4 linked regions of the Oreochromis niloticus genome follow. The protein of the gene in region 4 interacts with the protein of the main gene of each other region in a biochemical or structural test. Links are inferred from orthologs where the notes say so. Each region holds a gene or a part of one and is shown on either strand. Other genes may lie near its edges.

What was found.
Region 1: the proteins of rps6ka1 (region 4) and pard3bb interact in a test that uses a peptide from one of them, tested with the Homo sapiens proteins (2 studies listed by BioGRID and IntAct, with this or other methods). The link is inferred for Oreochromis niloticus from reciprocal best matches to the Homo sapiens genes RPS6KA1 and PARD3B.
Region 2: the proteins of rps6ka1 (region 4) and mast2 interact in a test that uses a peptide from one of them, tested with the Homo sapiens proteins (2 studies listed by BioGRID and IntAct, with this or other methods). The link is inferred for Oreochromis niloticus from reciprocal best matches to the Homo sapiens genes RPS6KA1 and MAST2.
Region 3: the proteins of rps6ka1 (region 4) and arhgef11 interact in a test that uses a peptide from one of them, tested with the Homo sapiens proteins (2 studies listed by BioGRID and IntAct). The link is inferred for Oreochromis niloticus from reciprocal best matches to the Homo sapiens genes RPS6KA1 and ARHGEF11.

The regions. Positions count from the first base shown.
Region 1 is NC_031987.2:2,518,534-2,526,387, reverse strand, and holds the start of pard3bb (partitioning defective 3 homolog B), read right to left. Parts: upstream 3,434-7,854; 5' UTR 2,423-3,433; coding exon 2,306-2,422; intron 1-2,305. UniProt on the Homo sapiens protein: Putative adapter protein involved in asymmetrical cell division and cell polarization processes. May play a role in the formation of epithelial tight junctions.
Region 2 is NC_031981.2:24,653,999-24,662,277, reverse strand, and holds the start of mast2 (microtubule-associated serine/threonine-protein kinase 2), read right to left. Parts: upstream 3,361-8,279; 5' UTR 3,346-3,360; coding exon 3,223-3,345; intron 1-3,222. UniProt on the Homo sapiens protein: Appears to link the dystrophin/utrophin network with microtubule filaments via the syntrophins. Phosphorylation of DMD or UTRN may modulate their affinities for associated proteins. Functions in a multi-protein complex in spermatid maturation.
Region 3 is NC_031967.2:26,816,445-26,824,364, forward strand, and holds the start of arhgef11 (rho guanine nucleotide exchange factor 11), read right to left. Parts: upstream 3,220-7,920; 5' UTR 1,491-3,219; coding exon 1,456-1,490; intron 1,009-1,455; coding exon 976-1,008; intron 1-975. UniProt on the Homo sapiens protein: May play a role in the regulation of RhoA GTPase by guanine nucleotide-binding alpha-12 (GNA12) and alpha-13 (GNA13). Acts as guanine nucleotide exchange factor (GEF) for RhoA GTPase and may act as GTPase-activating protein (GAP) for GNA12 and GNA13.
Region 4 is NC_031983.2:14,341,758-14,349,924, reverse strand, and holds the start of rps6ka1 (ribosomal protein S6 kinase alpha-1), read right to left. Parts: upstream 3,490-8,167; 5' UTR 3,088-3,489; coding exon 2,920-3,087; intron 1,772-2,919; coding exon 1,655-1,771; intron 1,480-1,654; coding exon 1,398-1,479; intron 446-1,397; coding exon 365-445; intron 193-364; coding exon 113-192; intron 1-112. UniProt on the Homo sapiens protein: Serine/threonine-protein kinase that acts downstream of ERK (MAPK1/ERK2 and MAPK3/ERK1) signaling and mediates mitogenic and stress-induced activation of the transcription factors CREB1, ETV1/ER81 and NR4A1/NUR77, regulates translation through RPS6 and EIF4B phosphorylation, and mediates cellular proliferation, survival, and differentiation by modulating mTOR signaling and repressing pro-apoptotic function of BAD and DAPK1.

The sequences.
Region 1 (7,854 bases), on a different chromosome or scaffold from region 4:
GCCTGGCACTGGGAGGGAGGATTAGGGACTGGACTGCTGTACAACACACACAGATATCCTAGATTTTTAATCCCGAAACACGCTAACAGCCATAATTATACAGCTACAAGAGATTAGTGTTGCAGAAAAATGACTGAGTGACAACAAGAAAGTCAGAAAAACACACACAGAGAAAATACTTAGGAAGAAGAAGGAGACTTCAAATTCACACCCCCCAAGAAGCAGAACTGGAGTCTGATGTCAAAAGTTCTGAAAGGGAGGGTTGAAAAAATGAAGACAAACAACAGGACAATTACTGTGAAAATGATTAAGAGGAAAAATGGCTAAAACCATTTGAGGAGTACAAAGTGCAGCGCGAAGGTGGAAAGAGGAGGAGAGACTGAGACTTGCTGACAAAGGTGTGGGAGACAGCGGGAAAAGGGAAAGAAAACAGAGGAAGAAGAGAAGAGCAGGCCAAAACACACAGAGTGAGCATGTTCTTAGCAAAGAATTTCATTGACACATGCACCAAACAAAGACTTTAAACACTAACAGACCAAAGCAGCAGAGCAGGGAGGCACTCACATCTCAGCACACCTCAGATGTTCCTGCTCTAGCTTCATAGCACCGCGTTAGATCTATGCTGTAGCCTGCAGTCCACCTTCCCCGATATGTAACTACAGCAAAGCAGACCTCAACTGCTGTGTCAGGTCTGAGAAACACAGCATCCTTCCACAAGGATGATGCCTTTATAAAGCAAATAACTGTATTATTATTAAAACAAAGTCAGAGCTACTAAAAGGAGACTTGAGAGTCAGTTCTTCAGTGAACTGTTGCCTAAGATTTATTGACTCTAATTCCAGCATGATCGGCTCAATCAGACTCGTGATAGCAGAGCTAATGGAGACACAACAACATCACTCGCTACAGCGGGGATTCGAGACAGTACCATACATCACGCTTAAGAGCAAACAAACTACAGTCAAAACAGTGTAAACTGATCTTTACTGTGAAAATGAAAATAGGCCCTTTTCTTTGATTTATTCAAGGCATGTACCCGCATGAATCTTTTCTTCAGACACATTTACTTCTAGAGGTAGTCATCATCATAGCTTCCATTTTCTGAGCTGAAGATGGTGACAGTTCCTCTATCCATACCCTTCTAGTTCTAGCTGGAATGGGGCTATCTTCTAAAGAAGAGCTGCATGTGAGGGAGGAAGTGTTCAATGAGGAAGAACAGTTTAAACGAAAGGGACGCGACGGCTCAAGCTACGTGCACAGCAATATACAAGGTGAACAGGAGATTTACTTGTGTAAAAGATAAGAATGATAAATATGATGAAGGGGGCAAAACACACAGGAGGGTTGTGCAGTGAGGGGTAATATACGGACAGGTGGAAGCAGATTAAAAAGGAAAAAAGGTCCAGGGAGCAAAAAAAAAAAAAAAAAAAAAAAAAAAAAAAAAAAACACAGGACGGCATCTCTAGCACTCTCTCATATAAACCCACACACACACCTTCGACATCTCTCCCTCAATCACAGCTGAGACGATCCATCCATATGACTGCTGTGCCTTTTGAATAATGGACCCAATATGAAGCAAGTCACTGAGAAGATTTGGTTGTGTGATGGGGGTCATGGGGTTCCTGCCCTGAGAGCAGCGCCGGGAATCAACAGCAGTCATAAAGGAATCACAAGACGGAGTCATTTGCATTTTACACTCACAACTAAATTGGAAATGACTCTCGCCTGCTCCTGTCTGGACCATCACAATTCATATCAGATATGCTTTTAATTTTTTATACAGCAATTATGGAAAACTGGACCTCCATGGCTTTGTCTAATTTCCCAAGACTTTTAGATGTGAAAATCATATGGTCCTTTCATGATATAAAAATGACTGAGCTCTCGATTATTCTTTCATGACTTCAGGGGGAAAACCTCAAATGTTATGAAAGTGCTGTTTCATAAAAACTTATCTGTCTCCGAGTTCATGAAAATCTTAACACATTATTACAGAACTACTTCTTACAATAAATAATGGAGCTAACTGACAGCTCAAGGGTGAGATGGACTCGGAGAGAGATAAGGCAGCATTTGTTCGTGCTTTTTGTTCATTTTTCCCAAGCAGAGCGCTCGCTCTATGGGATATCACTGACAAAAACATATTTTTCTGCAGCTAAGATTTTTGCCACAGTCACAGTATAAAGATGTGCTGCGTTTAATGTGTGCAAGTGTTGAATAAAACAGTCACTTCTCGTGCCAAGACTGCTATCAGGCGTAATTGTAAAGACAGACAGGTGCTTTGCAAACTTCTCCACAGTACCTGCTCCAGGAGTTTTCTGTATCTCTGCGTGGCTTGCTGGATGAGGTCCCTCACGGTCCATCCCTCCTTGCATGGCACCACCACACCTGTCTGCCCAAATGTTACTGTCACCTTCATGATGGCTGCTCTCCACTTTATCCCAGATCCGAGCCCTCTGGATGCAGATGATGAGCAATGTTCATAACAATGCAGGAAGGCCTCCCGGAAAGACTTGACAAGAAGGCAAGGATGTCATCAAATACCAAAAATGTAAAAATACAGTACTGGCTGTAGGTGGCTTGAACAAAGCTGCATCCAAATAAAAGTTAGATTTCTAAAACCCAAACTGCTTTCCAGAACTCTCCACAGGCATTAGAGTCATTTTGTGATCTCAGTACATCCAGCTGCCTTCACATGCAAAGATAACCATGGCTGTCGCTCCTCAAGCACAGCTAAGGATACCACTCAGCAGGTCTGAACACAGCTTCCTGAAGCGTTAAAGTACTGCACTGTTACTGTTTGCATGATGGAGCTGAGCGGTGTGTCCTGTCATGCCTCACGGCGGCTTAACCGACTCTAGTTAACTTGTAATAAAGTTAGCTGTGTATCAGCTAGCTGCACTAGCCCCGGCTATGATAACAAACCCGGGGTGGACGCTTTCAGTCTGTCACAGCTCTTCGATCTCCACACGCTTCCTCCACTATCACAGATGCCGTGTTTCTACGTGTTTTACCAGTCAGAGAAAAGTTTATCCAAACTTTCACATAACAGCTAGCCGACGCTGGCTCCTTCGCTAGCTAACGTTAGCAACCTTAGCTGAACTTTGGAGGGAGGGATGCAGTCGGTCGGGCATCATTCCACAAGTTTTCCCTCTCCCAACTTTCCTTTTTTCCAAGCGGTCACTTGCATCCACTACATCCCGGACAGGCACGGTAAGAAGGCGGGGACGCAGTTGTGATATTCGGCGGTAAACTGGGGGTGTACTGGAGCAGGTAACGGAGCAGTAAAACTGTGTTTTGGAAAAGTTTTGAGATTCCTTCACTGCCGACCGCTCCTGACCAGTTCCTGACCAGCTCCTCCACCGCTTCACGCTGTTCACTTTCTTAAAGGGGAAGTGCTCCAGTTAATGCTGCAGCTGGGAGTAATGCACAGGGATCCAGATTCCGGTTGTAGCCTACAGTGTTAGGATGGTCAACTTATATTAACGAGTTAACCAGACCAGATGTTAGAGCAGCAGACTGCTAACCCGCAGGTTTCTGCTTTCTCTGATGCTGGCGTCCCTCATATTACTGCTTTTTATATGAACCCTGACAATAATGATAACAACAAGAGCACAAGCCTCTCTAAGGCAGCTCCCTCTCTGCAGTATTTACTTTTACATGACAGATGTTTACTTTGATTACTCAAACATTATGTAGGAGCAGGTAATCGATAACAGGTATTGATTTGTAATAACTGGACATGAAACACTTGAGTTTATATATGGTGTTATCCTACAGTGTATTTCTAACTAACTCGGCTTCGCTTTCTCTTGACAATACTTTCTTTAAAGGCATAACACACCTTTGGAGTCAGCTGTGAAATGTAAAAGTGAGGTTAAAGGTCAAATGCGACATGATATCTGGATGCAAACTACAATGTGATATTGAGAATCCCCATATACCTCTATCATTTCCTGAATGTTGGCAGTATAAACAAACACATTAGACTTTTAGCATCGCTTTAAAGATAAAAGAAAATTTATGAAAGTTTGACCTTATTTGACCTTAAAGGAGAGGTCAGAGGTTCAAGGTAACGTGATACTTAGAATCCACATATATACTGTATTTTTCCCTATATGCCTATATGTTGTCAATACAAACAGTAGCAGTAAGAAGTAAGTAAGTAAAATGTATTTATACAGCACTTTTTAAGACAGAGTAGTTTACAGGTAATATAAAAACATATCAGACAAAACAACATATTACACAAGAACATTACCCAAACGCCTGCATAAATATTTGAGTTTTCAACTGTTTTTTAAAAGAAGCCACAGAGTCCATGGTGCGTAGAGTGGGAGGTAAACTGGTTCACAGTATTGGTGCTAGGGTTTGGAAAGGGCGTCTCTGGAATAGCCATCAGACCACCATCAGTGGATCTAAGGATCCAGTTTGGAGAGCAAGGGTGAAGAAGCTCGATGATATGAGTGGGGGTCTCACCTCGTAAAGACATAAAAGAGTGAGTGATTTTAAACTGATATCTGAAAAAGCATAGTTTTAAATAGCTCTATATACCATTATTTGACCTTCAGTCTACTGACTTTGAAGCATTCAGTTCAATTCAATTCAATTTTATTTATACAGAATCCAAATCACAACATCAGTCGCCTCAAGGCACTTTATATTATAAGGTAGACCCTACAATAATACATACAGAGAAAAACCCAACAATCATATGACCCCCTATGAGCAAGCACTTTGGCGACAGTGGGAAGGAAAAAGTCCTTTTTAACAGGAAGAAACCTCCGGCAGAACCAGACTCAGGGAGGGGCGGGGCCATCTGCTGCAACCGGTTGGGGTGAGGTCAGAGGTCAATTTTGACATAATGTAAATCTTGATACGTCACTTTATATGTGTTGATAACACACACCACACTTGTAAAAGTCATAGTTTCTAAGTACGCTGACCTTGATGACCTCGGTGGACGTAAGAAAATTTTAATGGATTGTTAATCTACAGCCCTACAAAGTTTTATCAGAATTAATTCAAAACTTTTTGAGCTGTCACGTATGCAGATATTATGACACACATAACCTCCTTGCAAGAGGTAATAAAGTTAACTAGACTGGATGTTTGAACAGTAAGTAATCTAAAGACTTTTGGTTTGTCCTGGTGCAGATGCTAATCTGATCAGTTTTGCAGTATTTGGCTGAATCTGAGCAGAGTGTAGTCCTGCACACGTCACAATTCATCCATCATTCTCATTCAAATTAACTATGGTTTCATCTGTCCAAAAACATTTTGTTTTTCAGAACACTGAATCTTATCAGGCTCTTTTACATGTTTCTGTTCTCGAGTGTAACCAGTGGTTTGTGGCTTGTTGTAATCCTTCTGTATTTACATTCATGAAGGCATATCTTGCTTGTAGACTTTGGCAACAATAAGTCTACCTCCTTGTGGCTGTTGACTTAGTTAGAGGTTGTGAATGTCAGAGTCTTTATTTAGGCTGGAGAGCGATACAAAACAAAAGGCAGCAGGAGACTAACTGGACTACACTGGGAAAACTAAAACACTGGAACACTTAAACATGAATACCTGAACATGACCCATGAAGCACAGACCACCCAAAAATAAACAAGGGGGAAACTCACACAATAAATACACAGAAGGGTGACAAGGGAAGTGGAAACACATGGGGAACACAGCAGGAACAAATTAGGTGAGACGAGACAGGAGGAAGAAAAACTGAACATCCTGAACACGGAGACGGGGCTGTCAAAGTAAAACAGGAAACACAAAGATGCAGACTAAGAAACGCAGCTTGACACAAGAGCCAGGAGGAAGGAACGCACCTGGATACTATACGGACTGAAGAGACAAAGAAGGGAAAAGATGGAAACAGTTAAGGGAGACGAGACGGGGAGGGAGGGGGAGAGAGTGAGGAATGAAACACAAGGAGAGGAACGTGAACTGAAAAAGGGAGATGAAACACAACAACCCAGCTAAGATACACAGAGGTCGGGGGAGCGATATGCACAGAGACGTAATTAAGTAACGGGGAAACAAATAAATTCAGTCCTAAATTATACAAAACTAAATCATTACAACTCTTACGGTGCGTTCACACCGAACGCGATAGAGGCGGCCAGAGCGTCAGGTTTACATGTAAAGTCAATGGAAAGAGCGCGATGACACGTGATTGCACGTCCGGCGAAAATTCGGAAGCAGATTTGCGTCGCGAAAATGCCAAAACTCGTGAAACGCTCGTCAGTGTATCGCGTCTGGCGCGTTTGACTCTCGAAAAAAAACCACGCGCGTGAGTTTTTGTGTTGCATTTTGTGCATACGCGTGTTTCGCCTCTACCGCTCGAGTTGGAAAATCTGAACTCCGGCGTCAATTCGCGCCGCGACAACCAATCAGGAGCCTGGTGACATAGCTCTGACGCCTATACTGTCCCGCTATTTTCCCACTGATGTACAAATACCTTTCCGCTAACAAGATAAAGTGTTTATTCAGAGGACATCTGCAGGAGAAAGTGGAAGAGCCTCAGGGACACATAATAAGGAGAAGAGGAGAGAGAAGGAGAAGAGGAGTGGGTCTGCAGCAGGATCGGGGAAGAGATGGAAGTTCTTCGCGGTCATGGAGTTTCTGGACCCCTTCCTCACCCCGCGGGAGACTAGCGGCAATATGGTGCGGACCGTGGAGAACTTCCCCCCGAGGACCAGGGACAGCCCGGAGAGGCAGCAGGGGAGTGTCAGTCAGAAGGACAAGGTTTACAGTGAATTAATGTAGGCAGTTAATTTATGCGTGTTGTCATATAGGAATATATTTTGTTTATTAATAAAACAGTATACAGTAGTCCCGCTGTTCACCCGTCACATTTCGCTGATTTTTGTTATTGCACCATACAGCTTTCAACAATGCGCATTGCATTCTGCAGCCTGATTGACAAATCTCCTCCGTGTCGTGTCTCCTGCGCTTGCCAAACTTATCATGTTTGGTTTTGATAACCATCACGTCCAATAGAAAAAACAGCACAAAAACACTCATAACTCAAAACTTCCTCCCACATTTCCGGTTCACGCGCGTCAAAATATGCAATTTTGACGCGCGATGGATTTTTCTTGGACACGCGTTGAGGTGCGAATGTGCACACGTCAAATTAGGGGCGTTTGGGGCGTTTTCGCTCGCGTCTATCGCGTTCGGTGTGAACAAGAAATCACAAAAACACAATAAACTCCAAATGCTGAGTCAAATGACCCAGAACCATGACGGTGAAAGGCTTGTTCCCCCCTTAACCATGGAAATAAGTCTGTCATCTGTGGAATTTTTGGTGGATCTTTGGTGTTGCTGAGCTGACCAGTGCATTGAAAATTTTTTTTAAAAAAAGTACTAGATTGTTGATTTGGCCACCCCGAAAGTTGTTGCTGTTCTCTGTAGTTTATTTTGTTTGTCTTTTTTCTTTCATTTATTCAATTCCTAGACAGTTCAAGCCAAGTTTTTCTTAAAACCCCACGAAACTATAAAAATGTGTCATTGTCCAACAAATGATAAACCTAACTCTACAGCGTGGCTACCTGTCCAGGATGTGAGAGCTGGGATTCACTCCAGTATGGATGAAAATGGATTGATGGAAATGCTGCTGAAATCAATGCGGTGTTCAGACAGATGTTGTTGTTTGAGCAGTGCTCAATATTTAGCAAGAAAAAAAAAACACCATAGAAAAAGACAATGCTTAATGTTGTCCTACATAAAACAGAAATCCACTTAACCTTCAAGAGTTATTAAAGTGTCAACAAATAGTATTTGCTTTGTTTCCAACAGCCCTCCTTACTACCACTGTCACATATAACTTCTTACCAGGGCTCACGC
Region 2 (8,279 bases), on a different chromosome or scaffold from region 4:
GATTCGATAAGAGATACGGAAGTTGACTGGTAGCTTAGCCGTCATCATCGCCAAACTCCAGCACGTAAGTGTTAGGGTGACGTGTTTAGGTAAGAACTCTGGCAGCTGAGTTCTGAACATACTACAGTGTGTCCAAGGCTTTGATAAACAGACCAAGCAGGAAAATCTTAAGTACTTCCCACCTGGGCTACTGTAAGTTATCAATGATGGTTTCAGCTGAAGAGTCAGAGAGCATTGGCTAGAGCCTGGACACGTTTAGGTGGCAGTTTTAGAGATGGATTTAATATGTAGTAAAAATTAAGGAGAGTGGAGGAAGCCCAGGATGACACCAAAGTTGTGGAAAAGGTGAGATAGAGGTGCAGATTGGCCACTTTTCCTAGCTGCCACCTGGGAACCACAACCAAAGTTCAGTTTTATTATTGTTCAGTTTGAGAAAATTGGTTGACATCCAGTTTTTGATGTCTACGAAGAAGCTGACGAGAGACAAAGGAAGACCTTACCAAGGTGCTTCTCTGGTTTGTCTGTCACAGATGGAATCGTGTTCTCCCAACTTCAAGCAGATGGTCTGTGACCCTACCTTTCCTCAGGACCAATAATCAAGAACGTGAGGCTGAAGCTCATGCGTGCTTTCCAAGCCCTGGAGGATCCACATTCTTTTGCATACTTTTGATATTTTTTAAATAAGTGTGTCATGTTACTGGGTTTTGTTGGGACCTGTCGCCACTATATCTTGCAACCTGTCTTTATCTGTGCTTGGTCTAATCATAGAAAACTGACCACTTCCACACTTTTGATGATGTGTGACCTTTCTTTGGTATTATCTCTTCCTGAACAGCAGATACATTTTCCTTCTTGGCTTTACTCATCAGGACATCCTGGTTATTGTCATTTTTTCTCTCTCAGAAGAGCAGTGTTACACCAACCTTACGTACTGCCTGAGACCAAATTATTGTTTGTCTGATCAAATATTAAAGCCTACATTTATCACCGCCATTGACATTTTTTCCCCCAGCACTACTCACACCATGTTGGAAAGAGATGGAGTTCCAAAAATATTCATTATAAAAAGGAAAGCTACCATTTTTCCATTTGTTACATTCAATGTTCAATGGCATTTACATTTAACCCTAATCTGAATCTGTTTAAAGGATAAAGGAGAAGTTTGATTACACCTTGCAGATTATATATCTTCAATGATGTAATAATGTCCTGTTTGTTTTAACTGTGGTGACTGTTTGCAGTCACCACAGTTAAAACAAGCATTCTTCTTCCAACTGTCAGTATGCAGGTCCCACATTACAACACTCCAGTGGGTGTTTGTATGTGTTTATCCGCTGTCCCTGGCAACATATTGAAATTCACGCTGAAGTTAGAAAATGACATCCATCCTCTGACTGTATGAAATGTTGGTTATTTTGTGGGGGGTTTTATTGTAAAAAGGACAGTGTGTAAGTGAAGACATCAGTGACGAGTGATCCTCCAGGAGCAACTGTATGATCTGATAATCTGTTTCTCATAAAGTAAGGACGTTAAGCATAAAAAACAGATATTTGTGTGGGTTTTGTTTACAAGACGGCAACTGGCTGTTATTTTTAACATGTAACATGTAGAAATCATCATCAAGCAAAAACAGAAATCCATGCACAGCTCTGACCTCTAGAATGTGCAGCTTTTCTCTGAGGACATCTCTTTGTTTTGTCAGAAGTAAGCTTTTGTCACACATCTTACAGAAACCCCAATTATACATATTTGCAAGAAAATAAGAGCAGCCAACCATGAAGTAATACAGCACATGTTTCACAGCATTCCATAATGTAAGCAAATAGGCAGATAAGTCACTTAACATGAAAACGCCCTGTCTGTTCCTTCATTTTGTTACGGTTCACACAAGAACAAATAAAACTGTGGCAGCACAAAAACATCTGTCTTTCTTCCCATGATACAAATATAAAGCTCACTCCCTCAAACTTCCCCAAAACCAAATCCTTCCCCTGAATCTAAACTGCCTGCAAAGAAGACATTTCCTCTTTTAGGCTGATTTTGGGAAACATTTGGAGCTCCACCAATGACTTCATCTTTGGACAGAGGTTTTCTTATTAGAGGACTATGTTTATAGCTTTTACAAACAAAGACAAATAAAATATAAAACTGCCTTAGTACGGCTCCTGAACACACAAGCTGCAAGTGATTTCGATTCCTAGCAGCATTAAAATAAATTTTTACTGAATTCTATCAGGAATTGCACTGTACAGTATTACCACGCAACCATGAGTTATTACGGACTCAAATATGATGTCCTCTGTAATGGCTTGCCCATATCAATAAAGTCTTAAATATTTTAATTATTGGTTTAGTGAGGTAAAGTAACCACCAAAGGGGGCATGCAACAAATCTGACTGTAAAATTGTGGGTGCAAATCAATATTTACTATAACAGATATGCTGGGCTGATAGCCGGTGCTATGCTTTTCATACTTCTTACTTCAAAAAGTCTTTATGGAAAATGTTGTAAAATCTTTCAGGACTTCACAAAACATTTTGAACATTTAGCCAGTTGAATATTATTAAAATACTCTGACATATGGTACTGCGAAAGCCATCAATACTGGCCTATACCTGTTTTTAAACCAATATACTGATGCATCCCTTCTAAAGAGCATTTTCCACCAACAGCTAATAACTGGTTAAAGTAGACATTTGTGGCAAAGAGTCGCTGATTTTGTGCTTAAGCCTCTTAACCCTCTAAATGTGCAAATGCACAGACTTTCAGACTTTATATATGTAGAATCAATAACTTTATGGGAGGGATGAACCCTCCCCCAATACCACTTATATCAAATAACTGAACTGAAAAAAAAAACCTGAAATAAAATTACCAGCTTGGTCGCACAGCTCAAAGCCCCTCTGACCTCCAGTTCTGATGCATTTTTTCTTAAGCTGCAGGTTTCCCAGGTATCCCAGACTGGCATTAAACTACATGTTGAACAAATTGGGCACTAAATAGATTAGCACAAGGCCAAATAACACCAAGTAATGAGCCCACTATGGATAACTTGGTGTTAGTTGGTGGTGGATTACTTCTATTTATTGATAAATTACAACAAATCCAAAATCCATACTCTTTGACAAAGCGCAGATTAGCTGCTAGAGCACACTTTAGTCTTCTTCAGTACTCCACATTACATGCCTTCATCTGACAAACCAAAGAATGTATACAACCTACCATAGTAGGAAACAGCCAGCATCCACACTGACTGAGCAAAAACTGTGAAGCTCCTGAATTAGGTCCCTTTTCTCCATTAGGGAATGGGTCTTTCAAACATGTAGAGCTGCAGGGACAGAGCATCTCTGTACATGTTTTACTGACAGCGTGTATTTCCTGAGAGGATTAACTGTTCATTAGTAGTATGCTGATGAAACAGACGGACATCATAACTGCTTGTTTATTCTATATTGACTGCTTCATTTTTCACACAACCTCACTGCTGTGTGACTGCATGCTTACAGCCAGTTTTATAACTACTAGCAATACCAACTAATTATGATGGCATATATTAACTCATCTAAGTCAAAACCCATAGTTATTAGGACAGTTCTGGAAAAAGGGTCTACACTGCAGAACTACTAATAAAAATGGTTTTGCATAAAGGTACCGAAAGCAAAGGACAATGCTCTTTAAGTGGTTTCCAGCCATTTCTGTGGGCTCATGAACTCACGAGGGAACAAGGACACGAGACACGTCCTCCTGACATAGCAAGGAGTATCGAAAGGCTTTTACTACTCACCGCATCTTTCTCTTCTCCTCCACTGTCGTGCTGCTCCATACTGCAGAGCTTCCTTTTGTTTTTATTCTCCGTCCTCTTCATACTGACTGTAGAAACAGTCCTCGCGCGCGCCGGATTGCACCACTTCACCCGCTTTCCTGTGCAGTTTCCAGTATCCTCTCGGTAACTTCACTTAGCTGGCTAGCACAACGTGTCAGGTCGGCTGCTGTGGTTTTCAGGGACACCTCAGCGCCAAACTGAAATGCATGGCTTGCTGTTGCAGTTTGTTGACTTGCGATTCCACCTATGAGTTTGCTCCGGCCAGCCATTCCCGACTCAGAGCCCGGCTACACTTCTTGTGCTGACTCCACATCTGGAAAACCCGTTGTGACAAGCTGTCAATCAGCCTTCTTGCACGAGCAGCCACCGGTGTCTTCTTGAAAACAATAAAAAGGCAGTATGTGCTTTTCACAGGGATAGCTTTATATTTCTAGAAAAAATGTATCCGTGCTGCGTTTTTTTTGTGCCGTCTGTGGCAACGGTTCATTCAACCTGATTAAAGCTAGCGTCTTGCCGCTGAAACACTAGCTGAGCGGCTAGTCTGGCTGCCTGATAACGTCTACCTGCCCAGAAAGACCGTGACACCCTGGCAGGTCTACCTTCCCTCTTAACGCTTCCAGATGATTCCCCCAGAGCTCCACGTCTTCCGTCTCTGTCTGGTGACTTCTTAGGCGACATACACCATGTCTCGGGGTTCGCCCATCCTCACATAAAGGCTGATCTCTGCGACCACTGAGTTAACCTCGCTGTTGAACTGCAACGACACGGCACAGCTCAGCTTGTTTCCTGGCTCTGATACGACTGCTGGGGTGTCAGGTTAGCAGGAATACAACATCCGGTCCATTAATACCAAAATAAAAGTATCATTTATTCAATATGAAAAATGCAGGAAAGGACGGGGATCCACATGTAAAAAAGAAAGAAAGAAAACTACCTATCTAACTAACTACTAAATAAATAAATATATAAATAATAAAAATGGAATGAGTATTAAAAATAAATATTAGTGATAACCTCTTTGTCCCTCCCAGAGTGTTCAATCTTTGACCTCTTTGTAGTAATAGAAAAATAAACCAGATGGGGAGTAACATTCACTTACTTTGAAGCGATAATAATAATTATTAAATTATATTTATTAATTTAACCAGGTTAGTCTCACTGAGATCAAAGATCCCAGTGGCACTAACCACTGATCTCTTTTACATAATAATTAAAATAATTTGGGATTTTCCTGATGTGAGTGAAATTTGAACATTGACAGTGCAATGTGATATATCGGTAACTGTCGTGGTAAAAGAAGACAAATGTACTCTACTGCAGTTTCAAAAGAAGAAAATATGTTTCTGTTTATCCTGAAAGCAATATACTGAAGTCAATATATCGTTATATTATGTAAGTATTGCATTATTATTTCATTATATTCAGTCATTTTTCGCAATTTGCGCAAGGGCAAAAGGTTTTATTTTGAAATGCTAATCCCCTTCACACCTCTGGTTTCAAGCTCGTCTACACCCTCCGCTTGCTAGACGATTTCTTGATTTTGAAAAAAAGATGATGACGATTATAAAAAAATCCATGCAGACACATGAAAGAAATTAACTATTTTTTTTCTAAAATTTGAAAGCACACTCACAGACTCAGACACCTTATATTAATTCCTTTATATATACCGACTTGCTTTTGCATCCTCGTAGTGTTGGGGCTGTGAAACAATTCCACGAGGTTTGTTGTTGTCTGCTGCCACCTATTGATTAACAACTAAACTGCTTCCTATGTGTTTTCTGTGTGTATGTTTAATGAGACAGTGAAATAAACAGATTCAGTTTCATATATAGCTGCATATAACATTTACATATTAAACGATCGTATATTCTATTATCTAATAATATGTATAATTAGTGTGTATTTTAGGCGTATGTGTTGTTTAATAAAATCCCTTTTTTTTCCCAAAGAGGGAATTTTCTTGTCACTTTGAGATCCTTGTATTTAAACTACATGACAATAATTTGATAAATTGTGCCATATATATGACTTTGTGCAGTCAGATTTTCTTTTATCCCCACAGTAGCCTTATTCTATCTTTCACTGTTAAATTTCACCAGGTACACCTGTTCAGTGTTTCATTAATGCAAAGATCTAATTAGCCCATCACACGTCAGCAACTCAATCCATTTAGTCCTACAGTCATGGTCAAGACAACTTTCCGAAGTTCAGGTCATGCAGCAGCAGAAGACCGCACCAGGTGTCACTCCTGTGCGGATTAGGATAACACTGACTGGGCTGATGGATCTCAAATTCTGCTGCAGCATACAGATGCTTTCATTTAGTTTATCTGGCATAAACAAAATAAAAGCATGCCAGTATCCATCCTATTTGTACCAGTAGTTTAGACTGGTGGTGTAATGTGGGGGACATTTAATTGGCACAGTGTATGCTCCTTATTACCAAGTAAGCATCATTTACTCTAAATGTCTGAATGAGCATTGTTGCTAACCATATCAATCCCTTTCTGATCATAGTGTACCCATCCTCTGATGGCTGCATTCAGAAGGATAACACACTCAAATAACCTCAAACTGATTTTTAAATATGACAACGAGATCATGATAATTTACCCTTTTTCTTTTTTAATGCTCTGATATTTTGAGAAGCAATATGTGATTTTTGTCTTGAAAGGTGCTTTACTTTACTGACTTTACTATCACTTTCCTCAAATGACCTGCCAAGTCATTGCATTTTAATCCATCAAGACACGTTTGGGGTGTAGTAGAATTGGATATTTGCATTATGGATGTGTAGCTGGCCTGCAAATTTGTCCGCTGCACATTCAGTTGACCACAACTCCATATTATGGTCAGTATAGACAACAAAGTCCAAAGAGTGCACCTTGTTGAATCTAACCCGGTGTAACTAAAGAAATGGCCAGTTGACTCTTTAGTATAAAATGATTCATAAATTTCAAAACATAACAGGAAACAACTCATATTTACTGTGCATCATGTCTTCTTTAATTTAACATGTATGATCACTTTTTAATTTAAGAGTAAAATTTTAATCTTTAATTTTTATGCCTCTGCTTTTATTTTGTATTTGCATTTCCTGCTTTTATAGCTTTCCTTGCTTATTGTTGATCTTATAATCAGCATTTTATATTGTTGATCTAAAAACAGAAAACCTAGTGACACTTGAAAGTATTCCGTAATTTTGTGTAAGTCACATGTATAATCTACTGTTATTCTGTTTTGTTTTTATTTTGAACAGCTTTTGAGCGCTGATTAAACACTGTTTATGAAGTGTACAGTATAAAGAAACCCTTACTGTACTTGCTAGGCTGTGCTTGAGGTGAACAAAATAAAAAACATGTAGTATAACTTAAGAAAACTACAAACATGACAGATATTTTTGTCCCCTTTTATTGGAAAGATCTTCACCACAAAACATTTTAATAAAGAGAACAGGCTTAAAAATACAAATAGCCTTCATCCAAAGACCATTTCATCTCTCTGATGTACATACTACCGTTAATATGCACATATATGAGGGGTGGCTCCTAAAACCACTCTAACACTACTAAAAAACAAACAAACAAAAAAAAACAAGTTTGACCTTTGACCTCTAAGGAAAACAGTCCAAAATTGTTTAATCTCTTTTAAACCCGATTTAACAACATGCAAGTTGTCTACTTTGGTTCATTTTATTGCTTCTTAACTACACTCCTGTAGTATAGTGCTGTTTTATGTGATTTAGATAGCTAAAAATGCCTGGGCCAATAAAAGTGCTTCATACCGATTGTCACATGCATTCATCTAACAGACAATTTGCTTAAATCAGTTCAGTTTTAGAATTAAAACAGTTGACATGGCACTTTAATACTCGAGCTTAAAAACAAAAGCAAAGAAACACAGAGCTATGTATTGCACAGTAACCCCAGAAGTATTAGAGGGCAGTAAAGCCACAGTTCATGCACAAAACAAAACAGGTGACCTACAAAACAGAAAAAAGTCACGAAAACAAACTAAACAATAATAATAATGATAATAATAATAAACACAAGAGGAGCCAATGAAATAAAATAAACTTTGAGTGTCACAAAACCTCTTCAGCTTCCAAAGGAAACGCTTCCAGAGACGTGTTTATTTTTTTAAATATCGCTGTGACAAAACATTAAAACACACAGATACTGACAAATTTAGCTAAAACCAAAAAATAAACAGAAATTTTTTTATTTTTTAAAAAAGAAGATGACAAAGAAGAAAAAATGGGGTTTTTTTTTCTTGTTACAAAAATGAACTGTCATCCTTTCTGACATGTATCTTTTTCACTAAGCTGCTGTGTAACTTGAAAGTAAGAACATCATCTACCAGCTACACGACCGACTGCACGTCTTTTGATAGGTCTATGTTCTTTTTTCATTGGGATATTAGGACGAAACTAAAACATAACTACCTCTGGGAAT
Region 3 (7,920 bases), on a different chromosome or scaffold from region 4:
GGCAAGGTACCTCACCCAGGACCAACGTGCCTTGTGAGACACTACCAGCATAACCTTGACAAAGAAAGGAGTTGCTGAGGTGATTCAGGTATCTGAACAGGATTCCTTCTGGGTAAGGTGTTCCAGGATTGCTCAACCAGGAGGATGCACCTGGGTAGGACAGATTACATCTAGCTCACATGAGCTAGAGGAGGTGGATGGGCTTCTCTGCTTAGACTGCTACCTTGTGACATGGCCCCATATAAGCAGTAGAGGATGGATGGATGGATGGATGGATGGATGGATAGATGGAAGGACATTTAAATGCACCTACTACGCGCATGCACCACATGGTGGACTTCAAATAAGGATAGGAGAAATTATATTCAGCTGTGGTGTCTCCAGCTGTCTGAGTATAATCAAGGCTTTATAGCTACCCAGTTATTCAAGTTCGCTCCACACTTGACACATTAGGAGTAGGAACCCTCTCAATTTCTGATGTTTGATTGAGACTTCTGCAATTAACATACATAGCACCTACAACATAGCCTACACCATTGCCAGCATTTAAACCTGTCGATGGTGACATGTAGTTATATTCCCAGGGTCATGAACATTGGAGCTGTAGGTTAGATTGAGGGGTATCATTAGGGTTAGCTGTTATGACATAGGCATAGCACAGAGCTATACTTCCAGTGTGGTACAGAAGCCACTTTGACAAACCTGCAGTATTTTAGGTAAAGATTTCAAAGAGCTTCTTTATCACTTAAAATTAAGTGTTCGTGTATGGGTCATGCACCCCAGCAGGTGCACGTAACGAGGTCACAAAATTTTTTTTATTAATTTTTTTTCTTGTATGTTGGGTTCCTAACGTCTCCAAAGAAATGAAACAACAAGCAGCGAAACGCTGAGAAATCTGCTGCCACAGCTGTACAATCTGTAGGCTTCACTAACCCCCAAACCCTGACATGAGTGACCACAGGGCAGCTGTCCTACCTGAACAGTTGGTTGTCTGTCTTATTGGCTGCCCTGCCGTCACATGACACACACAGAGACACAGCAGTGGGAGGTAATGGGCACGTGCAAATGGGGGGGGAAAAAAAAGTATACAGCAGGAGAAAGAGGAAAGACACATGATAAACAACAAATATGCATCACACAGACGATCGCACAGTGCAGGGATATATGGTGAAAGTGGTGACGAACGGTATTAACAAACAAGACAGGTGCACTACATCCAGTGTTTTATTAGAGGAGATGCAGATTGAATGACATAAATGAACATTATTGTGCAATCTTTTGCTTTTTTTCTGAAGTCAACAAGCCGTCTGAGCTGTTCTTCCAGTGGCCTCACTGAGCATCCGTCAGATAAAAACAATGCTCACCTGGGAATACCACATTTTTTGGAGCGAGGCGTAAAGAGCCGTACCTTTACCCACATAAACTGTCTGGGTGTAGCGGATGTGAGGCTCCTACCTGTCCAGCGTGGAGGTGGGTTGGCGGAGACTCATGTCTGCAGCCTTTATAGACACTCCTCTGCTTCCTGGTGCGGGATTCAAAGCTGTCACTGGGCTGCTTTTGTTATCACCACCATGATCTCCGTTTCCTCTTCAACTTTCAGTCCGTACAATGAGGAGCCTTTCTGTTGCGCTTTGATCAGATCTCCACGCTACAGGGCTGCGGGTTTAGATCAGACACAGTGCTCTTCATGTTTCACACCAGTGGCTCCAGTTTTAGGCTCAGTAGGATTTAAAGGAAAGTGCTGCTAAAACTATAAACGCTCAAATCTCCCAAGGTTTGTCTTCACTCCTTTACATTAGTGGTTAAAATTAAATACAGATCGTTGGTAGCTTGGTGCTGAGATTTCGCAGTAGTGGCAAATGGATAAAGGACAACCTACTTCCACAAAGGTCATCAATCATGAATGAATGGGCTGATATGTCTGGCTATGCTCCAGGAGGTCAACAACATCCCATGTTGGGGTTTTTTTGTTGTTGTTTTTTGTTTTTTTTAAGTGTCTGTGTCAGATTTAAAGCAACTGCCTAAACATAATATTCAGAGGATTAACTGGATATTCGTTGATTACGTGCAATTAAAAGAAATACTAATGCGAACCTGACACTCACTTGACTCAGACTTGTTTACATGTGGAGGCTTCAGCAGAGATCCCAGCCTAAATAATCCCATTCAAATCAGCACTGCTCATTCAGCTTGCTGATAATGCTTAAAAATAGGAAAGCCACCACAAAGTGAATATAATATGATCTGTAGTGATGTGTATGTGGCTATCTAGTGCAAATTACTCAATACACAAGTATCAACAGCATGCATTAGTTAAGCAAAAATATATATACGTTTACAAACAGCATTATCACTCCTCCGAGCTAGCTGTAAGCTACAGAAAACAGTCTGTTTTTCTTAACAGTGTAAACAACAACAAAACCAGTCGCTACAAATGGCTTTGCAATAACGCTACTGTCTAACTAAAGAGCTAGCCAATTAGCAGATTACTTGGCATTGGCTAACCCTGCAGTTGGAGCTTATAATCAAATAAGCACAGCAAAGAAAGAAAGCGAAAGGTGCTCCTCGCCTTTCACCTGTGGCTTTTAGCAATTAGCTGACTTGGAGATGATAACAGGTTCGTAAAGAGGCCTGCTAATTCCAGCTAGCGTTAGCTCGGTGAAGTCAGCTCGACGAATCGGCCTCTTTCAACCTGCGGCATGGCGTTATATCTCACGGCGAACCGAAGCGCTGCGTGCCCGGCTTTCACCTGCCGAGCCTCCGAGCTAGTCTGCTAACCGGCTATGTCTGCAAGACGAAAGACCAGCATGACTTTAGCTGCATGCGAGCAGGTGGATATCACAGTAAGAGGGGAAACTGGAGTCCATGCAAGGCCCGGGTTGTTATATCCACCAGTCTTGTTTTCATGCAAATTCACACGCAGAGTTGCATATTAGCTAGCTAGCCAAAAGGCAAAGCGATTCCAGTAAGAGCTCCACCTCAGGTCTCCTTTCCAAAAACACAGCGGATACAGCAGGATCTGCTCTTCTCTCGTGATCTGCCACAAGAACCCGGATTTAATTCCTAATCGTCGTGGTATATGTTTATCTCCTCTCCAGTCAAAGTCCTTCACATAGAGCTGTATGTTGTGCTGTTATCTTGCTGTCTTGACTGGCTCCTGATCCACCACCATATCCTCAAGGATCACACGACGTAGACAGAGCACACAGAGCGTAAACAGCGCCCTCGTTTGGTCAGGGTTGCGTACTACAACCGGACTGTAACCAGACAGGATAAGTTGGAATTGCATCCGTTCATGGAAAGATTTTTTTTTTTTTATAAAAATATATTTTTAAATCATTGACATAAATATTTATTTTTCCATCAATCTGTGTCACAAACACTCCAGCTTGTTTTTGCCACAGATTTTTTATGAAACATATTTCCATAAAGAATTAATAGCATCTTATTAAAAAATTATGGAAAATATATTTTTAAATATTTTCTTATATTTCTTTCTATGAAGATTTTTTTTTCATATGAGCAAGTCAAAGTATTGGGTTCATATCACAAAATTAGTTAATAACTCCAAATTACCATTACCACTCACTTAGTAACTCAAAATTTTGAGTTAGGTAACTTGAAATTTTGAGATAACTAACTCGAATGTTTGACATACTATTTCAAAATGTTGAGTTATTATGTAAAAGAAAGCTCTTTAAATGTTACTCAGATGTTTCTTCAATTTCTAACATAATAACTCAAAATTCTGAGCTATCATATTAAAATGTCAGATTATTGTGTCCAAAAAAACTGTATCTTTAAATTTTGACTTATTTAGAAGTTACTTGAAATTTCAAGACAGTAAGTCTAAATACTGAGCCAATCGAAATAAAAATGTTGACATAATAACCAGAAATCTGATTCAACTCAAAATCAGAATCACCTTTATTGGTTGAGTATATGTGCACACTGGTTTTTTACATAGCTAAGTTAGAAACAAAACAATACAGCATGCTTTGGTTCAGTAGCAGGCACGCTGGATATTTTAGTAGTAGACAATATGTGAGTGACCTAAGTGTTCATCAGAGTGTGGCCTATGGAAAGAAACTGTACAGATGTCTGGTTGTTTTGGCATGCTATGCTCTGTAGCGCCTACCAGAGGGGAGCAGTTGGAACAGCTTGCGTCCAGCGTGTGATAGGTCTCCAGTGTAGTCCCGAATCAAGTCAACACCAATGAATTTTTCTGCAAACTTGACTGTCTGTTGTAGTCCATTTTTATCCTGTTAAGTGGCTGATCCAAACCATTCAGTAATGGATGAGCAGAGATCAAACTGGATTATTGCACAGTAGAACTGGATCAACAGCTCCTGAGCCAGGCTGACCTTTAACCTGATGCAGGAAGTCTATCCTCTGGTATGTCCTCACTTAAGATCCTGGGAGACTGCGGATCCCAAAATCTGAAGAATTCTACAGCAGATGCAGTGCCGTTCAACCCCACATCTTTATGCACGCTCACCACCATCCTCGATGAGGACATGACATGTCATCTGTGAACTTCACGACTTTACCGGACGGGTCTTTTGAGTTGCAGCAGTTTGCTTAGAGGGAGAAGAGCAGAGAGGAGAGGACACAACCCTGGGAGGCCCCTGTGATGATTTTCTGAATGCTTGATGTGATTCTTTCCAGCCTCATTTACAGCTTCCTGTCTGTAAAATTCCACTCAGGAGTCTTGACATATCAAATTACTCAGGAGTAACTTGAATTTTCGAGATAGTCTGTCAGTAAGTGAGCATTTTAACACAATAACCCAAAATTACGACATAACTCACGCTTTTGAGCTACCTCTGCCTGTTAATTTATTTATTAATTTATTTATTTAGTGGCAGTAACGAGTTTCCATACCCGATCATTCTTCATTGCACATACAGCAGCTATTCGATACAACTGCACGTATAAGCATCTCTGGGGAGGAGCATGACATGGCAGAAATGACCTTTTTATTTGTTCCTTTATGTTGTGAGCTGTAAGCCATCTCTGAGAAGAGGAACTGTGACGATTTTGCTGGACGTGGAGGAGGTTTTAGCACTTTACCAAATACGGCAGTGTGGGGCGTGGGACCCACAGCCCGCAGACAGATATCGCTGGATAACGGAGGGGATGCGCCGAGGAACTTTAAGCTTTAACATTATTGTGAAATAAAACTCCTGGCTCAGAAATCGGTAAGATCCCGCCTCAGAATGATATGTTGCTCTGAAAGATTGTAAGTAAAACTTAGCAGCTCGTGTTTATTGCGGTCTATTCTTGGAATAGAGCTCATTACAAAGGCATAGCACCGAGGCGCGGTATGTCCGCTATCTGACATGGAAAACCTTTTAATTACTCAGTTAAACGCTTGTTAAACGCGTCTGTTATGCAGAACATACTCTTAGAAGTAAAGACGCCTCCTCTGGTAGGGTATCTGCATGAAAACGAGCACAGATTTCTTTCGTAGCTTTATTATCTTAAGAGAGTTAAGAAATCCTGCAATAGCCTGTTTGATTTAACATAACCTGTTATTTGAGAGAAACTTTCTTTGCCCCCATTTCACACCGATGTGGGTGGTTCCCTTTAACTTTTAAGCTTTATATGGCACTACCCCCTCGACTGGGTTGTGTTCAGAAACGAGGTATGCATGGTATGCGCACTACCAAACAAAAAGCGTAAACCCAAACCTGGTTTACTGTCAGCGGCAGAGGCCACAAAACCTACACCGCACAACCACACCTTATTTTCAGTTGTCTCAGTACCATGCTGCAGCTGCAATATTACCAGTCATCTCTCTATGTTTAGATCACCATGCATGGAGTGTGTTTAAACCGAGAGAATTCAACAGGAACAACAGGAAAGGCATGGATCAAAACCTTTATGGATGTTGAGCCCTGTTAAAAAATATACCTGAAAAGAGTCCTAATTCTATATTCTGGACTGATTACCATTCAGTCTGAAAAACTACTTCGATGTTGCTACTGTTGCTTCCTGGATACAGGCTGTTAGCCCTTCAGAGCTGCTTCCTGTTATGTATGAGTCACTTTTTGTGCAACAGGATATGTGACACCGGAGTTAATGGCAATTGAACGGGACCTATGGGGGCGGGGGTGAGCTAGAGTTCATCTTCAAGTGAAATTCGCCACACCCCAGAAATCCAACAGATGTTTCACTCTTTTGTATTAAAAAAATGATATAGGGAAAGGAGTATTTCCTTACTCACCCAATCTGCAAAAACATCTACTTTTACCTATCTTGTAAGTACATGAGGATTTGGCTAAAATGCAGAATGCAGAATTTGGCGACACACGCAGTCCTCACGGTGAGTGTTTAAAGGCGAGCCCCACTTAATGCGCCTCAATAATAATCGGAATTTCGAGCAGAAATGAACTGAGCTGGGGCTTTTCTCAGCGGTGTGCACACAGTGCGCGACTCACCTGCTAAATCTGAAATGAATAAAATAAATGTCAGTGAAAATGCAGGTGTCAGATTACTGTACAAATATTGCATTTGCCATTATTAGAATGCGATTTTTAAGTGATTTACAGATACGGTGCCGTAACATAGTAACCAGGACAGCTTGAGGTGTAATGCTCAATAATATTTGGTATTTTTCTGGTCAGCAGTTCCACACAGATTTCCGTTTGTAATAATGAAGCTTTCCTCCGGATAAATACTGGGCACAACCTGAGTACTAATCCTCAGAACCTTTTACATAGTGCCCAGTGACAGTTATTTCTCATGTCAAAAGCATACAGATTTTCCTTTATCCCCCCCTCATTTACCTGAACTGCCTTGTTGTTTCCTGAGAGAAACACATGTGAAACCTGAGCTTACACTTGATTATTTTTGTTAAAAGTCATTCATCAATCTCTCTCATGCTCCTGTCTTGGGATTTTTTAAAGCACTAATTCACACGGTTCTTAGCTGTGCCTTTTTACTGAACTGAACAGCCCTCATCTTTGCATATAAATTAAAGAACACTGTTATCAACCTGTAATTATGTAATAATGTGACATAATATTTACCCCACTCAGTAAATCTGTCCTATATTCTTTAACCTCCACATATGTGGACATCACATTTTGGGTTGTCTAGACCACAATCTCCAAAAGTTGATTCTGTTCATCTGGACGTAGCGTTTTCAGTGGGAGAAACGTTTCGTCACTCATCCAAGTGACTTCTTCAGTCTCAGCTGACTGCAGGTTTCCCCAATCTTATAAACAGTACATTTGCATAATGACTGAAACCAGCCCACTGAAGGAACAATGGGCTGTGAGGTCAGTTCCTTAATCTTAATTATGCAAATTCTCATGACCATTGATCAACAACCACTGATCAACTACACTATGTTGCTCTGTTTGTGTCGGGGGACCTGATCCTTGGGGTGGACTAATTTTTGGCGCAGCGTGTTTTGGCGTTTAAAAGCCACAGAGAAAAAAGTGCGTCTCAACTGCTCCGATACTCCTGACACATACGGGATCACTACAGGTTTTCGCTTAGTCAGTGGTTGTCCTTCTCTCCTGGATTGGCTGGAGCTTTCTTCGGCGCCTTCCCAGCTTTGACAAAAGTCCAGCTGGGATAACCACATTTACTCAGGGCCTTCTTGATGTGCTGTTCTTCTGCCTCCCTGGCCGCTGTGTCAGTGGGGATGGTGTTCGCTCTGTGTTGTAGTTTCCTGATGACACCCAGTTTGTGCTCCAGTGGATGATGAGAGTCAAACCTTACATACTGACCCGTATGTGTAGGTTTACGGTACACATCAGCTTTTAGATGTCCCCCATTACTGATGGAAATCTCACAGTCTAAGAAGGCTAACCTGCCACTTTTCATATCCTCCCTGGTGAATTTGATGTGTCACATCCTGAAATTTGATTTTCACCCAGGTGTCATCCACATATCTGAACCAATGGC
Region 4 (8,167 bases):
TAGGATAAATTAGTGGTCATAGGACTGAGCCTGACCTCAGGTCAGCATAACAACACAATCTAAGTAGTCACTTCTTTTTTTTCCTCTTTTCTTTTTTTTTTTTTTTTTTTACCTCTTTGGAGAGTCTAGTAAAAAGATCCCCTCCTCTGAGGAAGTCCAGGATCAAGTACAACTTCCCTTCAGTCTGGAATGCTACAGATGCACAAATTCACATTTAGTTCAACTGTAAATCAGGAAGCATGAGTAAAGTTTCTGGAATGTGAAGTAATAAAACAGTAAATCAAGTCAGTACATCAAATAACATTAATAAGAGGGAAGGGAAGCAAGGGAAGCAGAGTCTTATAAAAGCATCAGGCTGACTCACCATAGTGCAGTTTGACAACAAATGGGTGATTGACGTCTGCCAGGATGTCTCGCTCCATCTTGGTCCTCACACGGTCTCTGACTGAAGGCCAATGATTGAGGGTTAGTGTGGCGTTATAAATCTTGAATGCATACTGTGTCATACTGCATACTGTACATAAGCACAGAGTATGGTAAATGTACTACAACACACCAAATGCTGGTACTGATGAGAGTACAATTCAACTTGGACTCATTAGGCTGCAATAGGAGAGGATCCTCAAATTAAAGCATAGCCAAACTTTTAAATAATGGGGTCAGTGCTGAATGTTAATGATGACCTAAATTTGGGGATTTTGTGCATGCAACTGCGACTCTGAGCACAGTAGATTAACTCAGCTGCTGCTTAAAAACTTCTGTTCACCATGGGCAGCCAATCAGAAGAAAGCTGACTTCAAGCAAAAGGGAAGGAATGTAAAATAGCGATTTTCAGACAGAGGGTGACCTTAGGAGCTGCACCCAGAATAAGGCGAGTAATGATGAATTTGACCTGTGAGTCATGAAAAGCTGTTAAAGAATAAAAACGCGGAGCTTTAAATGAGAGTAAAAGGTCCCCGTTAAATTTGCAAGGCTGCACAGAACCACCCACATGATTTTGGGAGACGATGAGAAGAAATCTGATGCCCCGATGTTTGCAGAAGGTGAGACCACAGCACCTGTTCATAGGAACCCACTGAAAGCAGTGGTGGTCTTACTATGCACACATACCACTGCATGTCATAGCTGTCTTTGTGTTACAGGAAATTCATACACCCTTTTATATGAAACTAAACAACCACTTGAAAAATGAAGTTGCCAAACACGAAGCCTTTTCAAATCAACATTACCGGAAAGGTGAAAGGTGCAGCTCTACAAAAAAAAAAAAAAAAAAACAAAAAAAAACCTCACTCACTTTTCTTTGGGGGTTTTTTTCCTGTCAATGAAGCCAAAAGCCAAAACAGAAAAAAGCAGCAATTAAAATTTCACGACCACATCCAAGCCCGATGCTGCTGTACCTTTTAGTGTGGCCTTCTTAAGGACCTTCATGGCATAGAGCTGGTTGGCATCGGGAGGAGTCACCTTTCGTACCAGGAACACCTGCAAAAGAAATTTTTTTTTTTTTAAATTCCCCCCAAAAACATAACAAACACCAAAAACACTGTTAAGGATGCAACGATTTTTGTAGGTTGGGGAGTAAGAGTAGCAAAGGAGGAAGAGAAAAATAGACATGCAGTCAAAATAGAAAGAAACCGAAAGAGTAAAAGCGAATTACCTTGCCAAAGGATCCCTGTCCCAGGACTTTGAGCAGTTCAAACTGAGAGGCATCAGCTTTCTCTGAGCCTTCCTTGACCACATGGGTGATGTTGATCTCTTTGATGTCTCCATCTTCCTAAAGAGTGAAAAAAAAAAAACGGATGGAGGGAAAGCAGTCAGTGATCACAGAACGACAGCAATGCTGCACAGCTGCAAAAAAACCTCAGAAAATGTCACAAGCCGCTTGCTTATGCAAAGATAACAGTTGTCCTGTGGAGGTGCCTCCTGCTGTAAATAGCATCACATCAATTCAAAACATTTCAAAAAAAGAGGAAGCATGGTAAGAAGTGAGATGTGCATGTGAGCACAAACAATTGCTTATCGATGCGTTTATGTGCTTTTAGCATACTGGAACTGGTGGTGTAAACGTTCAGTGGAAGTAGATCTGTGTAAAAGCAAGTTCACAGCAAGCGCACTCTTACAACTGGGTGGAGCCCAGCTGGCACCGCTCACAGCTCCACCACATGAACACGCGCAGCTGACCTGGTGTCAGCCTCACCCAAAACTCAACAACAACAACGATGCAGAGAAGAGTTTTCCCCTCCCTTGATAATCTTCCTTTAATTTCACACCTCGGGCCCTGTGATGAAGCAAAGTACAGTAGGTACCCTGCTGGGAGAATTTTAGACTCACCAGTGCAGTTTCAGGGGAAAGACTTTTTCCCCACTTCTGCCTATGAAATCCAAATCTCAGGGATCAGAAAGCAGAACATCCGGGCTGTCCTGCTCCTAATTTCTCCTTTATAGGCATGTTCAGGTTTACACTATTACCATGGATCCTGAATAAAGCTACATTTGGTAATTTATTTGAAAAGCAAACAAAAAATAATAAAGTGCAATCAGCTGACCGTTGCATAATCAATATTTCAAAGAAGTGACGAAAGATATATATTTTCAGCAGTCTCTTCTTTCAGCTTTTTAAAAGTTTCTACAAAACAACAGCCACCGCCATCACCACAGACCACTGCAGCCCGGGACTTTATTTGACAACAGGAAACCAGAGTTGGCTGAACACAGCAGGCTTTCAGTTGCACCTTGTTTTCTGAGCAACCACGACAAGAGCGAATACAAAACCTCGTTTGCACTTTGCTGTGCTGATGAATCCCTCTTTTCTCCTCATTTTCTTAAAACTCAGTTTCATTAAGACGATGCCACTGAACGCCCTGTCAACGACTTAACTACTCAAAGTTGATCGAGATGTCAATATCAGGAGGTGTCACTTTACCGTCCAGTGGTTCCGCGGTGGAGGTAAAGTGCCAGTGTCCTTGTCCGTTGCCGCCGTGGGTCTGTAGGTGTTACAGTGAGCAGGGCTGCCAGTCAAGGATTTGTTCTTTTTGAACAGGTAGATGGACAGCATGCGAGTCAGGTTGAACTTTCTCTTGTCCTTCTCCATCTCAGCATTTCCCAGAGTGTTGTATCATCCTACCTTCATCCATAACAAGGTACACACTCTTCTACCTCTCATATAATCATCTCAAATCTCACCTCATCTCACCGAGAGCACACTTTAGGCTCGTTTGTGCTTTCATGTTAGGATTCGTTGTGTGGACTGCAGGTAAATATAGAAAAGTCTCTCAGCCTCTGCCCTTTTGTCGACTGCAGAGGCCTTCTGCTACATTTCTTTCAGTGCTTCATCTTCATGTTCTCTTCCATTCTGTCTCCGGTCCTTGCTCTCTCCCTGCCTCTGTGTCTGTCTGATTAGACCGGTGTGCCTTCGGTGAATGACTGCAGCTGAAATGAACTGGAACCGAAGCGAGCAGGAAGGAAGAGCCTGCTGTATTCTCACAGTCCTGCACCCAACTTCTTGTCACACTCACACACACACACACATGTGTGCGGCTGAAAGAGAGAGAGAGCGAGAGCGAGAGAGAAAAAGAGAGAGAGCAAGCGAGCAACAGGAGTACACTGAAACTCAAAAGACGCACAAAACAGAGAAAGAGATAAAGAAAAAGGAAAAAAGAAAATGCCGATTAAATGCTTTCCTGAATAAATGTGATTAAAATAACCCAACGCTTTATTTGCTTGTATTATCAGTAATTTCACAGACTTAAGAACCCAACTCTGTGCCACTTCCCTTTACCCATAATTCAACACAGAGGCCAGCGTGGAGGAGGATGGCAGAGAGAGGATGATGTGTCCCCTCTCGGTGTCAACACACCAGAGAGGATTCAGACAACTCACTGCCTCTGGATGACAGAGATTTTCCTGTCTGTGGCCAGGCATGTTCCTCTCTTCCCCCTCTTAACAGTCCTGTTCCTGCTCATCCTGTCTCCTAACACAGCTCTCGCTGCTCGAAAAGTGGTCTTGAGATCCTCTTACTTTCCTCCATTGCTCACTTTATTGCTGTTTATACGGCAAATACTTCTTTAACCTGAGAGAATAAGCCATTACGCGCCTGTATATAGAGCATGAGTCAACTCCTCTTGACCAAAGAGCAGCGTTACTTGGCTGGCAGCGAACCTGCACTGCAGCCTGTGCTCAGAAAAGGTTATTTGCTTAACAATTTTGTGATGAGAGAGTACATTTCCCAGAGGGTGGGGAGACGAGAAAAAAAAAGAAAAAGAACATACAATCTGACATGGATGAAGCAGGATGCAGAAGTAATGTTTGTTTAGCGAGGGAGGAGCTGCAGAATGAATCGATTTAAAAGCAACAGTACACAGGTGGTGAGAGCTTACCTGGGCTCTAATAGTGGCATAGTCCCTCTCTATCCAGGAGATATGAGACTCGTTCTAGGAAGTGTTTGAATGGAGCAGTTAACATGAGTTACGTAAAACATGACGGGTTTTGCAACAGGTACATTCGTACCTGTTCATACAGATTTGCTGCAGGTACACCTCATTAACACACAATCACACACACACACAGAAGAGGGTAGAATAGGGCCACATTAGTGACAGGAAACTTCTCTTCCCTCCTACTTCTCACTTCCTCTTTTCTTGAACTGATCTCACATCCTTCCTGCTCGATAACTAGATAACCAACTACACAGGAGAGCTGAGTTTACAAGCATGACAGCTGTTGCAGAGAAGAAGCTGAAATTCAGTGTTATGACTAACTATATATAAAGGTTCTCGTGTTATCTGGAATCTAGAGTACTCAGGAACAGCTGTCTTTTGAAAGTAAGTCACATGGTGTGTGGGAGATTAAAAAAATTAAAAAGAAAAGAGTATTCACACTTCATGGCCTCACACTCATTTTTTGTGGTTTTGCAGATCAGTTTCAGTTTGATTGCATTAATACCATGACTTTGCCAAAACGCAAAGACGGAAAAACAGAGTATCTACCTTTTAAATTTGCTACACCGGTTGAGTGAAAAGGCAGGATCTTCCGTGAAGCAGCATTAAAAATAACATTTTTTATGATTTTTGAGGGTGGAGGAGGTGGAAGATCCTCCATTCACATCCTCCTTTGTTTCCTGTCATTTCACAGCTGGGAAGATGCAAACTCTCACATCCACCCTCACAGAGGAAACCCCTTCATCCACTCCCAAAATATCACACAACACACTCGCGCGCGCGCGCGCGCACACACACACACACACACACACACACGCCAAGCACTCCCTAAAGCTTTCGGCAAGTCCCCAGCACATTCTTCACCCAACCACACTCACACGCAGCTGCCCACTTCACAACAAGCAGAGGTTTATAACATGCACACATGAAATAAAAGCATCTACTTGCCTCTGGGATGCGGTTTTTGGTGCGGAATAAGAACCTCCACATGTCTGTGTCCAGATACTTCCATGTCACTGATGCTGTCACTGGGTGTCAGTGAACCTCTGTGACAGTCACACTTAGACACTTGCTTCTGTGTCAGTTAGCCAACAACTCTGTATGCAATACCGCAACAGATACAACCTTCCTGTATGCTAAGCAAAATGGGAAGTGAAGTTATAAAAAATGCATACGAGCAGGGGACCGATTAGCTGTGGACAGCATAGAAGGAAAAGGCTCAACTCAAGCAGGAAATAGCTCTTTCTCAATGGGAAAATGAATCACAAGTCTATACAACAGCTACAAGGACAGGTTTATGGAGACAATGAGAAGAACTTGAATCTTCTGTGTCATTTTAGGCAAAAAGTGGGGAAACTGACTTCATGCTTTTGCTTCAGTTTGAGATTCAAGATAGCAATCATGCAAGGTTTTCAATTTCCGTTGACACATCATCTGACTAAAAGTCCAACAAAGCCTGAAAAAGGGCAGAGTAAAAGTTTAACAATAAGAGAATCCTACAGTCATGATAATCTTCGGTTGAATCAAAGCTTAAACGAGCTAACACAAATGCTTCTCTGAGTCCGCTTATGCAACATTTGATAACCTTTTCAGACTGCTAGAGAACAGATGCATCGACTGTGAGAGATAGATATGGTGTAATGCCCTTTCATTAACACAAGGGGCCAGTGCAGGTCTGCAGTCGGTCCACTGGTAGGTGTTCCAAAGAAGGATGTCATAAGAAGGAGCTTTAGCCAAGTAAGGGCATGCTCACATTGTTAGCTCATGCCTCATCCAAATCCCAGTGTTGGCTCTGACACCAATTACAGTAAGGGAGACAAAGTGGGACAGAAAGGAAACATGTGGGAGGTGATAGGCTGGAGTGCTGTCCAAACACTGTCCATTCACAGCAGCAGAGGTCACACCAGTTTAAACCCTACAACAGTCACGTCTTGCGTCAAAGCAACGCACCAAAGCTCGAAATGATGGCAAAGTTCAGAGGAGAGAATCATTACAAAAAATAAGACAAGAGGAAGAGACAAGAGGAAAAGAGAAGTCACTGGTCAAATGGTGCTTGAGCCTGGAAGAAGGAGTTAATTTAGGCTGTTGCTCTCTTAGTGTTTGTGTCTTGCACTGTAGCTTCTCCTCCTTCCTGGAAAATGAAGCGCAAGCACCTGTACGTTTTCAACTGCAAGACAGCTCCGACTGCTCGGACAGAGGATGACGAGTGAAAGCGGGAAGGTCCAGAGAGGGAGACAGAGCAGTCTAAACATTCATCTGTAAAAACAAATACCCACACTAGACTTTGCCTGCAAGAGCAAACGCACTCAGAGGAGTAAAAAAAAAAACACACTGCAGCGGTACCCTCACAATGACGAAAGATTCTGAGATTATATAAGAAGACAAAAAGAGACTGTAGGCAGCATGGATCATATTTTTAGGCATTTCTAATAAAAATGCTTTAAGGTTATAAGCAGGAACGGCTACTTTTATTAATGTCTAATAAAAGTCCCTGTACTGAAATGTTGCACCCTCATTTAAATCTGCAGCTGCATAATCAGTTATGATTGAGATTAAATCAACTTTTAATGTATAAAATGTCTAAAAATTGTCAAACACTGGTACTTAAAGCTGAGTAATATGTATGTGAATGTAGAACTAGTTTCATTTAAAACTCATGTCTTAGTAATATTGGCAAATATTCCCATCACTTGCACATGATTAACTAATCATTCAGTTCAAATCTTAGTGTACAACCCTCTATGGGTCATTAATGAGAAGACATTTTTTTGCTCTCGCTTCATCATTTATTGCTTATTTAAGGAGGAAGACTTAAACCATCAGAATTCAAGCCACAATCTAAAATCATGACCACTTAAAACGCCCCTTAAGTGCGACACATACTGTCTGTTCTGACTTTCACCTGGACCCGAATTTTAACCCTCATAAGCAAGTTCCCATGACTTGCAAACAGATATATTGGGTTTCACAAATGATTACACAAAACTCATTTTTCCTTCCACATTTTTCCATAAAAGGGCTCTTGCCTAAGTGCTAAGCAGCACTTTTGTGTTGAAAATGATAAATGATACGAAACGATGACGATGGCTCCCTTTTCATCAAATCCCAACTGTTTTATACTAATTACTGGTTTTCATGCCCATAGCCTTGAAGAGAATTACATATCATTAATAAATGAATTATTAACCACTTTTAAAAGTGGTTTTCTGTTTGTCAACTGTTTCGCACGAAAATTACAGATGTTCAATAGCCTGGCATGTTTTGAGAAAGAAGAAATGCATAAACACTGTTTAAAGTGAGATATTCAGAGCTCTACAGTGTAACTATGCATATGCACTCATGCGGGATTTCAATGCAGGAGGTCTAAAAGAGTTTTGTATCCGACAATCACATCATGAACTCGGGCTAGAAAGTGGCTCTCTGTTTTTAAATCAGCCAAAGTATCTTCCTTCTCCTCTTTAATATCTGAAGGTGGGCACCAAAGAACGGGACTATATTTTGGAGGGCAGGGAAATCATTCAACTAGTTCCTTTCAAAGTCAATTTAACACCTTTGATGGACAGGCTGTTCCTTCAGCACACCTTTTCACATTTTTAAGCCTCTCCGTCTGCTCTCCTTCATTTTGTCCTCTCCCATGTCCCATTTGTACTCTATGACCTCCACCAACACCTGCTAACAGCCGAGACTGACAGGCTGGTACAAAAAAGGGAAGAGGGTGAAGGAAGGTTGGAAAAT